Linked DNA regions of Mus musculus. The protein of the gene in region 2 interacts with the protein of the main gene of each other region in a pairwise test. Links are inferred from orthologs where the notes say so. Each region holds a gene or a part of one and is shown on either strand. Other genes may lie near its edges.

The links.
Region 1: the proteins of Ctbp1 (region 2) and Nol4l interact in binary tests that used the Homo sapiens proteins (3 or more experiments, as listed by UniProt). The link is inferred for Mus musculus from reciprocal best matches to the Homo sapiens genes CTBP1 and NOL4L.

What each region holds. Positions count from the first base shown.
Region 1 is NC_000068.7:153,481,320-153,484,971, forward strand, and holds part of Nol4l (nucleolar protein 4-like), read right to left. Parts: intron 2,524-3,652; coding exon 2,368-2,523; intron 1-2,367.
Region 2 is NC_000071.6:33,264,975-33,268,626, reverse strand, and holds part of Ctbp1 (C-terminal-binding protein 1), read left to right. Parts: intron 1-1,589; coding exon 1,590-1,744; intron 1,745-3,652. UniProt on the Homo sapiens protein: Corepressor targeting diverse transcription regulators such as GLIS2 or BCL6. Has dehydrogenase activity. Involved in controlling the equilibrium between tubular and stacked structures in the Golgi complex.

The DNA.
Region 1 (3,652 bases), on a different chromosome or scaffold from region 2:
TCTACAGCCATGCACAGGGTTTGCTTAGGGGCTTTTTCTAAAGGGGGGCTCATGTCTACCGAGCAAGGCTGAGGAGCTAGGCAGGGCAGAGGGAAGTGAAAGCAGATGAAACGGGGAGCACACAGCATCCAGCTACCATCTCTGCCCCAGAAACAGGAAGACAGTAGCCAGGAAAGGTGGCAGATGGGAGAGAGGGATGGGTGAGGAGGTATGGAGGGAAAGTGGAAACACCAGCTCCTTGTCCTCCAATTGCTGCAGGAGGGCCCTAGCCTGCTGAGCTCAGCCTTGGCCCTGTGCTGAAATTCCAGCTGTGTATGCAGCCCAGCCCGCTCCATGCCAGTCATGTGCCAGCTCCAGGCTGGGCAGGGCAATGGGGCACATGGCAGCATATGCACCAGAATCCAGAAAGTGCAAAGGCCTAGCTGTCTGCTTGGTCCAGGAGCACAAGAGCTGTCAAAACCAGCCCCACTCAGCTTCAGCCTCTAGTTCCTAAAGGCCACAGACCCCATTGAGGAGTACCTGTGGACAAGGCTTGCTGCTTGGCACAGAGGAGCCAGGGAAGTAACCAGATTCAGACGGCCAAGCCTACATGCCTGACAACAGCCAGTGGCTGGCTTGGCAGTTTGCCTCAGGAGACCTGTAGCAAGGAAGGATGGGTGCTGGTCAGCTACCTGGCTCTGAACTCCAGCTGAGCGACTTTAGACAGCTGTGGTTCTCACCTTAAAGTGGGGCTCATATGTCCCTGCTTTATGGCTGTAGCTTTTACATGGCTCAGACTTAGGAGGTGAAATTGGAAAGGGCTAATGGTAGAGCCGGGCACACATGGAAGTTCAGCACCACGGCAGGTTCAGCGATAAGCAAATGCAGTCTTCTCAATCCCAAGGAGACCCTAGTCCCAGACGGATGGTTCTCCCTTTTGTAGCCTCACTTAGAAAGACCCTCAGCCTGGCTTCCTTCCTCACAGGCACATACACTGACTAGCAGGAGGAATGGGAAGACAGGGTGGCCATGCTGTGCCCCTCAGCCTCTTTCCTCACTGCTCGGAGGCTCCCGGCAGAGGGAGAGGCAGATCCTAAAGAGAGGCAGCTCAGTGACTGAGGGCACTGGCTGCCCTTCCAAAAGCAATCCCATGGCAACTTACAGCTGTCTGTGACTCCAGGCCCAGGGGACCCAGTGTTGTCTTCCGGCCTCCATGGGTACAGCACTCATATGGTACACAGACACATGAAGAGCAAGGAGCCAAATACCCATCCAGGACAAAGACCGTCAACTGAGGACAAAGGTTTCTGGAATTTGGGATTTTGTGAATTGGGACACATGGGGAAATAATACCTATACATACAGGCCACCTCCACTACAGCCCAAGGCTGTCTACACAAGGATACAAGCTGCCTGCTACTTAGGCGTGACCCTGTACAGGTGACTTGAGGTTCTGGGTCTGTTTCTTTAAGTAGGAAATGGCCCATTGTGCCTTAGTCACAAGATGGCCTCTGGTGCTCAGCTGAGAATAAAATGTCTGGCTTGTGGGCTCAGAGCTGTGCTCGGGCCATGGGTGCAGACTTACATGTAGAGCCAATGGGACAGAAGCCTCTGCGTAGCAGGCTCCTCCTGAAGTTAGGGCTGCTGCTGTCCATAGCCCTGCTCTCCACTTCACTGATGTGGACTATTTCTCTAGTAGTTGTTCCACTCCTTTCTGCCCTCCTAAAGGTGGCCAGTATAGACTCTCCCTTTCCATGGAACCCAGCCTTCAGTGTCCAGAGCTAGCACATCTTCACTGAGTCCTCCAGTGTCCTTGTTCTATCAAAGCTGGTCTTGGAGGCATTTCTCCTTTTGTACATATCTTTTTGCCTTTAGCCTCTTCACCCCAAATCCAGCTGTGACCTTCTGAAGGTATGAAGCAGGTCCTCAGACCCAGAGCCTCTGGCGAACTCACAGGGCTAGCTTACAGTGCTGTGGTAACCTGGCTAAGCTCACACAGCAAGCATCTAGGGCAGGCTGGCAAGCGCTCTGTGCCATGCTGTGGAGGCACTGGCCCCTGCGATTCTTATTATCTGTGCTCCCCCAGCAGGCTACAAGGGGCTGAAACTGGGGAGAGGAGGGCTTCCTCTCTGTCCTGCCCATCTCCTTTTCTCTCCCTCCCTCCCTCCCTTCAACCTGCTTCTTCTTTGTGCTCTGACCGCAGAACCCGCCCCTCACCCTGAGAGCCATCTCTGGCTGCCTTGCCCTTGCCCCATGCCCCCCTGGATCCCCAAAGGCCGCTTCATCACGCCTCAGCTCCCAGCCCCGCCTCCCGCCCAACATGTGCGGAGCCCATGGCCTCCTGCCAAAGCCTGGGGCTGCCAGCAGAGGCAGAGACAGAAATCTCACCGCTCGGTAGGTTTTCTTCTGCCCAGCGTGCTTGGGGGCTTTGCCTGGCTCTGCAGAGCTCTCCACGTGCATCGAGTAGATGATGTCAAAGAAATCTTCCACCACAGCAACGCGTTTCAGAGAGATGCCCTCGGGCTCCGACAGGCCATCTGCCCCCTGTGACAGGGTGGACAAGCTGTGTTAGTGTCAGGGTTGATGGAGGGTGAGAGCTGGGCCCAGAGGCCAGGCCACAGGTCGGGGAGGGGGGCAGGGTCTTTGCTGCTCCCCTGGCCCAGCACAGCCTCTAACAGTTCCAGTTAGGAGGTGGGGAGGAGAGGAAACCCACTGGATCTGGGGAGAGGGTACAAAAGTCAGTGTGGCTGAGGAGGCTACAAAACCTACCAGCAACAATGGGCAGAGAAACACGACAACACAAGAACAAATTAGGAAACCAAGAGGTTCCATGTTCACAATTCAGACAGATTGTGCCAGACTCCCAGAGAGCTCTCGAATCACATGCTGTGCCAAGACCATCCTAGAAGTCTCTGGGGAGGGGGAGTGCTAAATAGATGCGGCCCCATCAGGAGCTTGCCAATTAGCAGTAACCTTTCACTGTGGTCCTGGTTGGGGTCCCAGGAGACCGGCTACCATCACCTAGGTGGCTCCTGCCTTTGCCCAGGCCTTTCTAAGAAGCTTTTCATCACTGTCCTTCCCTATCCCAGCAGCTGAATGCCAGCCACAGTGCCCAGGCTCTTTGTATGGGGAGAAGCACAGAAAAACAGGCTGGAGGGCATGGAGATGTGGCAGGGCTGGAAGCCTGGTGGTCATGGGCCCCAAGCCTCTTATTAGACTGTCAGCTGGCTCAACAAGGTGTGCCAAGATGGAGGCTGAGTTCTTTGCAGCAAAGAGCTGTGGAAGGCACCAGTGCCCCATTCCCAACCCTGGTGAGGAAAGAGGCCAAAGGGAGACTCCAGGGCATGAGTTGTAGGTGGGGCCAGTAGTGCTCCATGAAAGTGTTTCCTGGTCCACAGAGATCTGGGGACACCAGTTCTCCCCTATCATACCTCATGGGCAGACTGGGAAGACTTTAGGGAGCTTCAGAGAACAAATAGTATGGGCACCCATGCCCAAAGCACAACTCCCAAGATAATCCTTCCCCAGCGGATGCAGGACAAGGACAACAGCCCCAGGGAGGTGTGGACTTCACACCTGGCACATGCTAGGTGATTGACAAACAACTGCTGCTGGGCAGGTAGTAGGTTAGCATGTCATTGAGACATGTTGGGAATGGGTGTGATGGTGCATG
Region 2 (3,652 bases):
CACTTTTAAAATAGCAGTAAGTCCATTACCTGCTACAAGAAGTAACACTTTTATGTGAGAAAAGTCACTTTGCAAGTCCAAGTTGGAGAATGATTGGATTGTTGCATTTGTCCACCTCTGTTGCCTGGTGATAGCGATGTGGTCCTTAGAGATCAAGGAAGGGGGGGATGCAAATGCTGAGCCTGTGACCTTGCACATCCCATCTTGAGGGTTGGGTCCATCTTCTCTCAGCACCTTTATTTTTACTGTTTATGAAGGCATGGATGGGTATAGCTGTGTCTTCTCAGGCACGTTGACTCTGGGGAAGGGCTCTGTGCAGCAACACCTCTGTCCCACAGCTGGAGATCTTGGGCTTAGTGTTGTCTAGAAGGTAGCTCCATTATCCTCTGCGTGGTCAGTGAGACCTGTGTCACAGCCCAGGTACCCACTTTCAGGCCTGGGAGCCTTAGAGCCTTGCTGTAAAATGGGTGTGGCAATCCCTAGAGCATTGTCTTTCTGTGACATGGATTCTCTGAGGCACTTCTTGGCACTGGAAGTTTGGGCTAGCCTCTGTACCTGCAGGCAAGAAAGGTGAGTGTGGACTGCACAGGCTGCTGCTAGCCAGCAGCTATTGCAGGGCTCCCTCTGGCCTGCTCAGTGCAAGACTGTGTGGTGACTTGTTTCTTGTCCTCCACTCCCCACTGTGCCTTGGTCCATTCTTTTGGTTAGCTTTTGGAAGGGATGGGCAAAGCCCTGCCTCATACTACGTGCTACCATGAACCTACCTTTAGCCTTCTTAAGGTATCTGCTGCCCAGCTGAAGGTGGCCAGACAGTACCTGGGAAATCCTTGTTCCTGTATTTGGCCCCAAGTGGGGTCTAGTTTAGTGTGTCATGTTGGGAACAAATTGATTTTTTTATCCACAAAGGCTTTGGTGGAGCTAAGAATCAGACCCAGGGCCTCACACCCACTAGGCAAGTGCTTTTCTCCTGAGTGGCACTCCAGGTCTAAGGTTCTTTCTTACTTTGATCCGGGAGGTGGGTTCTTAGAGTGTCATTACCCCTACCCTCACCCCCCCCCCCTTTTTTTTCTTTACTATTGCACTGATTTTTGGCCTTTGAAATCTACCACTAGGAATGATAACAGTTAAGGTCACATGCTAAACATCACTCTGTGGTCGCTGTGGGGTTCTGGGCAGACAAGACACATGGTGGTTTTAGGCATCAAAGAGCAAGCAGGTACTTCCCATCATTTTGTGATCTGCACATACCTGTGTTGCTAAGATAGCTTATGGCTGTAGGGAGCCAGGCTGAGGTGCTTCCTACCTCCCCGTCCTCCTGTCTACCACAACCTCCCTAGGGTCTACAAGGATTTCAGCTCCTATGCTCTTGAGGGATTGATGGTCTGAATCTACTCAGTCATCAGTAAGCTATAGCCAACTCTATTTTCTTCTTTGCAGTTTTAATTTGCTTTTTACAAAGCCTCATGTAACCAGATGCTGAGTGCAGCAAATTCTCAGGGCTGACCTCTCCAACTCGAGTGGGTAGTACAGTTCTCTGGTCACAGACTGGTGCTGCTGAGGACATTAAGTGGTCTGCTCCTCTCTTGCAGGCGTCCGACCTCCCATCATGAACGGGCCCATGCACCCCCGGCCCCTGGTGGCGCTGCTGGATGGCCGGGACTGCACAGTGGAGATGCCTATCCTGAAGGATGTGGCCACAGTAGCCTTCTGTGATGCACAGTCCACACAGGAGATCCATGAGAAGGTAGTGTCATATGTCCCTATTAATAGTTGGCCAAGCTTTATGGGGGAGTAGGGAACTCCAGAGCATGGGCCATGCAGCCTCACGCTGTCGTCTGAGTCAGCACACAACAGTAGTCATGTTCCTCAGCCTCTGGCCACAGTGGGTCTAAATACCACCTGGTCTTGTGTGGCCTGTCACTCTGCCTGGCCTGGACAGGATGTGTAGAGATGGGCTTACTCTGTATTTTCTTGACTTGCATCACAGCCAGTTCATTGGAAATACAACTGTGGGCACCTGGCAGTGATTATGCTGGATGCTACCTGGCATATAGAAAAAAGGGCATGCTATCCTCACCCACAATGCCTGTCTAGAGCTTGTGGTTGGTGGTTAGCAGCTCTGAGCAGTTTCTGTGATTCATGTTTGTTCAAATATATTGGGTTCCTCTGTTACCTGGAGTGTGTTCATATGATTTCTGCTTGTATCAAAATTAATTCAGACTTTGCACTGAAGACAGCTTAAAAACGTTCTTTAAAACAAATCTAAAGAGCTTCAGGAGTTGACAGGGTAGAACCAGTCGGGGGTTGAAACCTCAAGGCACCTGGCACCTGCTCTTATGGATGGTCTGAATGGTTAGCCTAGAGATTTGCTTCACTGGGAAGAATGGTGAGCTTGTTCTTGGTGGCACTATGGCCTCAAAGGGTGGGTCTTTTGACCCATTGCAGATGTTGCCTCAGACCCAGAGGGCAATGAAACCCATATCTGAACTTAACCTTCACATAGCCTACTACTCAGTCTTCTAAGTCTGCCAGGCATGGGATTTAGCATGTAGTGAACCTACAGCCCTGCTCCCCAGTAGCTGCAGAGTCACTGGGACAATCATTCCAGCCTGAGCCCAGTGTGTGTCTGTAGTCCTTGGGTACTTGTCACTTCTGTTTAATCAGTTACAAGGAGGTAAGGCTCTGTGAGTAGAATAGAGCTTCTGACTCATGGGAGACTCAGGCTGACTGTGGGATGGGCTGCCATCAGCCAAGAAAGAAACTGAGATTGTCATGTTGAAGGTCATGTGGTAGGTGTGAAGTAGCAAAGTTGAAACACAGGGCTTCAAGACATGAAAACTGGAAGGGAAAATTCCCACTGAGGGCATAGTAGTAAGCAAGCAGGAAGAGATCAGAAGTCTTGATTCTTAGGCTCTGTGGAGAAGAGTGGGGAATGGGAGGAGAGGAGGAGCAAGGAGTAGGCAGGCTAATGGAACTCAGAGAGGAGGGCTAGGTGCAAAAACAGAACACAGTGGTAGAAGAGTCCCCCAGACAGTAGGAAATGGTGTTAAGTAAGGACCTTGACCCTGTGGCATGGCATGGACAGTAATCAGGGGTACTCTATACTGTTCTACATCCTTACAGCATGCCAGCTGCCATACTTGGGTCCTTTGTCCTAGCAGACATGACCTGCATTCTCACAATCATACCTGAAGGTATGGCAGCTTGACTCACAGTAGCCCAAATTGGACAACCACTCAGTGCCCTTTGGTGATATGCTGGGCAAATTGGATCCTGCCACAGATCCTGGGCCAGGCAAAGCATGACCCACAGGTACACAGCACTCACTGACAGAAATCACCTTCCCTCTTCCCTCTGGCTAGAAATTGGGTGGGATGACTGAAGCCTGGTTAGAAACCTTGTACTACAAGAAAGCCATATACAGGGAACGGCACAGCCAGAAGACAGGAGTCTGGTACCCAAATAATTATGAAAATGCAATAGGGCATGTGGGATACCTATCTCTAGGTGTGGAAAGGAAATAACTGTCTTATATATCCTTGTTATATGGTAATTTCCACCTTTTTAGAGCAAAAAGTCCTTGCAACTGGCTGAGTGTTGCAATGGCTGTCTACAATGCAGATGAACATCTTACACTGTAAGTGAAGAACAT